Linked DNA regions of Macaca mulatta. The protein of the gene in region 1 interacts with the protein of each later gene in a pairwise test. Links are inferred from orthologs where the notes say so. Each region holds a gene or a part of one and is shown in the gene's direction. Other genes may lie near its edges.

What was found.
Region 2: the proteins of SWSAP1 (region 1) and ZSWIM7 interact in binary tests that used the Homo sapiens proteins (3 or more experiments, as listed by UniProt). The link is inferred for Macaca mulatta from reciprocal best matches to the Homo sapiens genes SWSAP1 and ZSWIM7.

Annotation. Positions count from the first base shown.
Region 1 is NC_133424.1:12,109,250-12,113,077, forward strand, and holds SWSAP1 (ATPase SWSAP1), read left to right. Parts: upstream 1-1,495; 5' UTR 1,496-1,510; coding exon 1,511-1,759; intron 1,760-2,344; coding exon 2,345-2,848; 3' UTR 2,849-3,196; downstream 3,197-3,828. UniProt on the Homo sapiens protein: ATPase which is preferentially stimulated by single-stranded DNA and is involved in homologous recombination repair (HRR). Has a DNA-binding activity which is independent of its ATPase activity.
Region 2 is NC_133421.1:18,147,395-18,150,588, forward strand, and holds the end of ZSWIM7 (zinc finger SWIM domain-containing protein 7), read left to right. Parts: intron 1-469; coding exon 470-574; intron 575-1,198; exon of another isoform or gene 1,199-1,298; intron 1,299-1,330; exon of another isoform or gene 1,331-1,465; intron 1,466-2,245; coding exon 2,246-2,359; 3' UTR 2,360-2,362; exon of another isoform or gene 2,363-2,363; intron 2,364-2,492; 3' UTR 2,493-2,676; downstream 2,677-3,194. UniProt on the Homo sapiens protein: Involved in early stages of the homologous recombination repair (HRR) pathway of double-stranded DNA breaks arising during DNA replication or induced by DNA-damaging agents. Required for meiotic progression, hence for fertility.

The DNA of each region.
Region 1 (3,828 bases):
GAGATGGGGTCTCACTACATTGCCCAGGCTGGTCTTGAACTCTTGGCCTCAAGCAATCCTCCTGCCTTGGCCTCCCAAAGCACTGGGACTACAGACATAAGCCACCATACCAGGCCTGTTTGTGCATCTGGAGTGTTGAAATGTGAGGTGAATCATGGGTTGTGTATCTGCTGGGGGATGGGGACTGAGGTAGGGTGTTTGACAGCGCAGTGTATCGGTGTGCTTCACTGTGTGTGTCTGCGTGTGTAGTGGCAATGTCATAGTTACGTGTTTTGCAAGAGAAAGGGTGTGGGGGATGAATGTGGGACAGAGTTTGTATGGGATGCTTTGTGTCAGGATAGGGCAAGGTTGGAGCATGTGCATGATGGAGATTCTGAAAATAGAATATATTCAGAGATGCCGTGGTGGGTGTGTGTGTGTGTAGAGGGGTGTGAGGGTGCCCAGCTGTGTGAGTGGGTGTGTTGGGGGATGTCGTGGAGCTGTTTTCTGGTCCCAGAGGGAGAGAGAAAGCCCAGGAAATCTCACTTTCTCCCTGCCCCTGGGTCTCCAGGCAACGGCACCACTTTGGAGTTACCAGGAGACAAGGTTGCCAGGGCAACACAGGCGTGAGTGGCAGCTCTGGGACGAAGTCTGGGTGAGAAGATCCAGCCAGGGATCACGATCATTCACTTTGTTCCTCCCTTTCTCCCTGTTTCTCATCAATCCCACTTCCCTTCCTTCATTGTCTTAACGAGCCTGTATTTGAGAACCTACAAATGTGCCAGGTGCTATTGTGGGTACTGGAGAACAGAAGTGAACAAGACAAACACTGTCCCTGCTGTATGTCTCCTTCAGTGTTTCAGCGCCTGTCTCTTTGTCTCTCCCGCTCCCTTCTTTGTCCTGCGGTCCTGCCCTCCCCCCGCACCACAAGGAAGGCCCCACAGAACCCCTTAGCCAGTGAGGAAGTTGAGAGCCTTCATCTCACAGACTTTCGGGGACGGCTGTGTCCCTGAGCCTGTGTCCCCAGACACACACTCCTGCCCATACTCAGGTGCACAGAAAGACAAGCACACAGCTCATCCCCCTCTTCAATTCTCAGTTGTCATTGGATGACATCAGCAAAACCACACACAAATACATGCCGATCACAATACTCCTCTGAGATATCATAAACCCCATTTTACAGGAGGGCAAACTGAGGCTAGGCGACTTTAAAGAATATGTCACTCATTCTGGTCTGCTCCTCCAATTCTTAATCCTTATATTTGTCTCATTAGCTGACAATAACAGTATTCGTGCTGGTTCCCCCAGCAGCCTCCCTTAAGGAAGGGCCTTATTTCCCTATTTCCCTCGAATGCACCCTTTCCTCCGCATAGGTTCTAACCCTTCGCTCATTCCCCAGAGGAATCGAGTTTTGATGGACAGATTCCTAAACCAATAGAGAAACTAAGTGAACTGTACCGAAGCGGCCTCGACTTGGGCGGGACTAAGACTGGGAAAGAGCCACCAATTGGACAGAGCTACGCGGCGAATGGCGGAGACGCTGAGGCGGGTGCTGACCAGGGACGGTGCGGCCTGGTCCGGGGAGGAGAACACGGCTTCCGCCGGACCGCCTTTGCTGCTTCTCGGCGCACCAGGGTCTGGAAAAACAGCGCTGCTATTTGCTGCGGCCCTAGAGGCGGCGGGGGAGGGCCAAGGCCCAGTCCTCTTCCTGACACGGAGGCCTCTACAAAGCCTGCCCCGCGGGACCGGAACGACTCTAGACCCAATGCGACTCCAGGTAACTGTGCGGTGGGAGTGGAGGCGTTCTAGCCAATGGTGGAGTAGATCCGGGACTACTGAGTGACAGGTAGACAAGCCCATGGAGGGGACGGTGGAAGGGCGGGCCAGGGCAGCCACGATGGGGCGGAGTCAGGCAGGCGCAGTGAGGGGTGGCACCACGCGGAGCTTAATTAAGATTGAAGTGAGAGCCCATCCAATGATGGGCGGTGTTAGCAAGAGGCGGTGCCCAGAGGGTGAAGTCAGGCCCATCAAGGGGCGGGGCCAAGCTTGGGTCCATTCAGGACCAGAGTTGGCTCCTGTTGGTGTCAAGGATGAGGTCAGACCGACAATGCAATGCTGGGGGACGGTTTTCCGTGGAAAAACTGCCCTAGAGATTTGGCCAAAAACAAGCAAAAATGACTTGCCCTCAACTAATACTCGGCAGTGATGAGTGCTGGAAAAAGGGACGAATACAAGAATATTTAACCACTCTGAGCTGGTTCATCCTGGAACCAAGGAAAGTATGCAAGGAGGCAGGGTTCTCTTGCAAGCAGTCTGGCTTCTTGTGCTGAATCCGGCCCTTTCCTTCTGTTTCTCCTTCTAGAAGATCCGCTTCCAGTACCCACCCTCAACCCGAGAGCTTTTCCGGCTCCTGTGCTCTGCCCATGAAGCCCCGGGGCCAGCCCCCTCCCTTCTGCTGCTCGATGGCCTAGAAGAGTACCTAGCGGAAGACCCAGAGCCCCAGGAAGCCGCCTACCTCATTGCCTTACTTCTAGACACAGCTGCCCACTTCAGCCACCGGCTTGGGCCTGGCCGGGACTGTGGGCTCATGGTGGCCCTCCAGACCCAGGAGGAGGCAGATAGTGGGGACGTCCTGCACCTGGCACTGCTCCAGCGGTATTTTCCTGCCCAGTGCTGGCTGCAGCCAGATGCACCAGGTCCAGGAGAACACGGCCTCCGAGCCTGCCTGGATCCAGGCGGGCTGGGCCCCAGAACAGAGTGGTGGGTGACTTTCCGATCAGATGGAGAAATGATGATTGCTCCATGGCCCACCCAGGCTGGTGACCCCAGCTCAGGCAAGGGTTCAAGCTCTGGAGGCCAGCCCTGAGCTTTGGTGGGTGACCACCTCTCTGTGTTTCAGTTGCCCATGGCTACTTACCTCAGGGACATATGCAGATCCAAAGACCTAAACAATGTAAAGTGCTTTTTCTCTTTTAAAAGTATAGCATTATCTTGTATCTATTGTACCCAATCAATATATTGTTTAGTTTTGTTGCTTTAAACTTTATAAAAAGAGCTTCAGGCCGGGCGTGGTGGCTCACGCCTGTAATCCCAGCACTTAGGGAGGCTGAGGCAGGCAGGTTACCAGAGGTCAGGAGTTGGGAGACCAGCCTGCCCAACATGATGAAACCCTGTATCAACTAAAAATACAATAAAAATCAGCTGGGTGTGGTGGCAGGTGCCTGTAATCCTAGCTACTCGGGAGGCTTAGGCAGGAGAATCGCTTGAACCCAGGAGGCGGAGGTTGCAGTGAGCCAAGATTGTGCCATTACACTCCAGCCTGGGCGACAAAGCGAGACTCCCAAAAAAAAAAAAAAAAAAAAAAGTTTCATGATAAACATAATCTTCTGAGACTTCCTTTTTGCACTCAACGTTGTTACTAAGATTCAGCTACATTTTTTTAGTTCATTCCTTTTTCCGTATTGCATATAATTCCATGGGTGACTATACCCTGATTTCTTCATTAGATTGCCTTATTTACTGCTGTGAACATTCTTGCACACATGTCCTGGCACGTGTGTGTGTTTTCAGGGGCCGAGACAGGTGGATCACCTGAGGTCAGGAGTTGGAGACCAGCCCAGCCAACATGGTGAAACCCCGTCTCTACTAAAAATACAAAACTTAGCCAGGCGTGGTGGCTGGCACCTGTAATCCCAGCTACTTGGGAGGCTGAGACAGGAGAATGCTTGAACCCAGGAGGCAGAGGTTGCAGTGAGCTGAGATCGAGCCACTGCATTCCAGCCTGGGTGATGGAGATGAGACTCCGTCTCAAAAAAAAAAAAAAAGGCCGGGCGCAGTGGCTCAAGC
Region 2 (3,194 bases), on another chromosome or scaffold:
GTCTTACTCCTGCCCTGCTACTGATGCTTTGCCTGTTTTTACTCTCTCTTTAGGTATGTAGGAAGCTTTAGAAATTTACACACCTGCTGTGAAATACCAAAGGTTAAGAACCCCCACAATGAAATGTAGATGAGAGATTGCCCCTCCACTTCCTTCTTACAGTCTGCCCATAGAGTGGGCCCCATGAACCACTAGGCGTCGGAAGAGAATGGTCTATGTGGTTGGTTGAACTAATCTGAAACTTTTCAATTCCTTTATATGAAGTCCTAAAGGTAAGCACTGAGGTGAGGAAGGGAGAGTCTGCACGCTGAAGGAAGAGAAGTTGTTTCGTCTTTCATGTAAAACATAACTGCAGTTCTTCTCAGTGCAATTTGCAGAGCAGCTCTGAGTCTACATAGATAAAAAGGGAAAGAGGTGGTTTTTCGAGCACATCATCTGAGGTCTGATCCCATCTATCCTTTCTTTGTAGGTGCTTGGAAGTTCTGGTAAAACATACACGTGTCTGGCTTCTTGTCATTACTGTTCATGTCCTGCATTTGCCTTCTCAGTGCTACGGAAGAGTGACAGCATCCTGGTGAGGACGGGGAAGGCTCTTCCCACTGTAGTTGAATGTAGAGAGAAATTGGCCTTACTTTGTGGTTTAACTATTTTACAAAATGGGAATCTTACTACATGTTGAAACAAATGGTAGCTTTTTGTCCTTGACTTCAGTTAGTCATCTCTTAGGGGTTTAGCCTCTCAAAATGCAATGTCATTTTTAGAACTACATCAATTTCCTGAATTTTTATTTAAAAGATCATGAGTGAAGCTTTGAGAAGTAAAAAAAGGGGAATTAGATGGCCCCATAAAAGTATGAACTAAAATTCGATGTTGGCAACTTTGCATATCCTACCTTCAGCCATGTCGTATATCTTTGCACTACCTGTAAGACAGCCTGACACCACACTTGACCTTCACATGGGGCATGAGTACCTTCACCTATTCCTTTAAGCCTTTGCCAATTTCATCAGAGTCCAGATCATGAAGCAGAAACAGGACATACTCATACACACCTTATTCCAAAGGGAAAAACGCCACCTTCCTGAAAGCAGGCAGCTATTTTTTAAGTCTTGCCAAAGAAGCAAATAATGGTGTCCACTCCATTCTTCCCTTCTTTTACACTGTTAACTTCTTAAACATCTTGGGACCTGGCTGGCAAGTTGGGTATACCATTGTACAAGAGACCACATTCATAACTGATGTGCCGGAAGTTTATCTCAACTGCAAGAGACAGGATTGAACCAGGGCCCCTTCAGGATCTAAAGCTGTGTTCTCTGACATCAGCTGCAACATAAAGCTGTGTTCTCTGACATCAGCTGCAACATAATCATCTCCCCAGAAGCGTGTACAGGCCAATATATGCAAGAGTTTCGCCACTACTCCCCGCCCCCCAACCCCAGAAGTATAACACAGTAGCTAAGAGAGTAGCCTAGAGACTCTGATGAGCATCTGGGTACAATACCTGTCTTCCTAGGGAGCTGTCAGATTTCAGTGAGGTAATCTGTGGAAAGCACTTCACAGCATAGTGCCTCAAGGAATGTTAGCCATTGCTGTGACAGCTTTCTGAAGGCAAGGAAGAAATATCACTTAGGACTAAAGTGAGGAGCGCAGCTAGTCTTGGTTTTCACCATGGGTTACATACCTTGTGCCTGATGGATCTAAGCCGTTTTCCAAAGCAGCAGGCAAAGTAAGTCTGTCTTTGTCCACTCTGATTTCTAAAGAGAATACACCTGTCTCATTATCTTTATCTGCAGTTTTTATTTATTTATTTTTTGAGATGGAGTCTGGCTCTGTCGCCCAGGCTATAGTGCAGTGGCGTGATCTCAGCTCACTGCAGCCTCTACCTCCTGGGTTCAAGCGATTCTCATGCCTCAGCCTCCTGAGTATCTGGAATTACAGGCGTGCACCACCATGCCCAGCTAATTTTTGTATTTTTAGTGGAGATGGGGTTTTGCCACATCAGCCCAGCTGGTCTTGAACTCCTGACCTCAAGTGATCCACATGCCTCGGCCTCCCAAAGTGCTGGGATGACAGGCATGAGCCACCATGCCCGGCCTGTCCAGTTTTTAGACAATCAGTTAGAGACCCTGTAATCTGTGTGCTCTAGTCTTTTCCTGCCAAATAAGATGGTAATGAGAAATCTTGGTTAGACTGGCCAGCCTCGGCCCTGCCTATTTCTAATAGGTGTGTGTGTTTTATATTCCAGTGCAAGCATCTCTTGGCAGTTTACCTTAGTCAGGTTATGAGGACTTGTCAGCAGCTAAGTGTCTCCGACAAGCAGTTGACTGACATATTATTGATGGAGAAGAAACAAGCATAAAAGGTACAGATTGAGCATCCTTCTTTCAAAATAGAATCCTGTCAAGAAATGCATTTAAAATGTCACGATTCACAAGGAAAAGAGGTGAAATAGATCTTCAGACACTTCATGTTACTATCCCTTTTCCCTCCAGGACTGCAGGAGGTGCTGTGGGTTGGAGCCGTGGGCTGTGGAGGGTTTGCGTATGATTAGAAGCCTTGTACAGTCTTCTCAAGAAAAACCCTAAGCCAGTCTCTGAGGTGCTTGGGTAAAAAATGTCCCTGGATGGAATCAAGATTTTAAATTCAAATAAAGCCTAATATCATGTTGTGTCCACATTACTTAGCCTTTTATTTTGAGACGGAGTCTCACTCTGCTGCCCAGGCTGGAGTGCAGTGGCATGATCTCAGCTCATTGCAAGCTCTGCCTCCCAGGTTCAAGCTATTCTCCTGCCTCAGCCTCCTGAGTAGCTGGGACTACAGGTGCCCACCACCACGCCCGGCTAATTTTTTTGTATACACACAGAGTTAAATTATTTTACTTAGTAAAATTTTCACACTTTGGGTTCCAAGAACTTAACGAAACTTCAACTTTGGAGAGAAGCAAAATTCCCTACCTAGCTCTAGAAGGCAGAATTTGGTAGAGGAGGGATCCCATTTCACCAGTTTCTTCCCCACGGGTAGTTTTCTGTATATGGAAAGGAATGGAGCTTAAAATTACATGATGAAAATTTGACTTATGAGAATATCATTTCCCTAAATTAATACAGCAGTTTTTTGATTGAATAATTATACTTTTTTTTTTTTTGAGACGGAGTCTCACTCTGTCACCCAGGCTGGAGTGCAGTGATGCAATC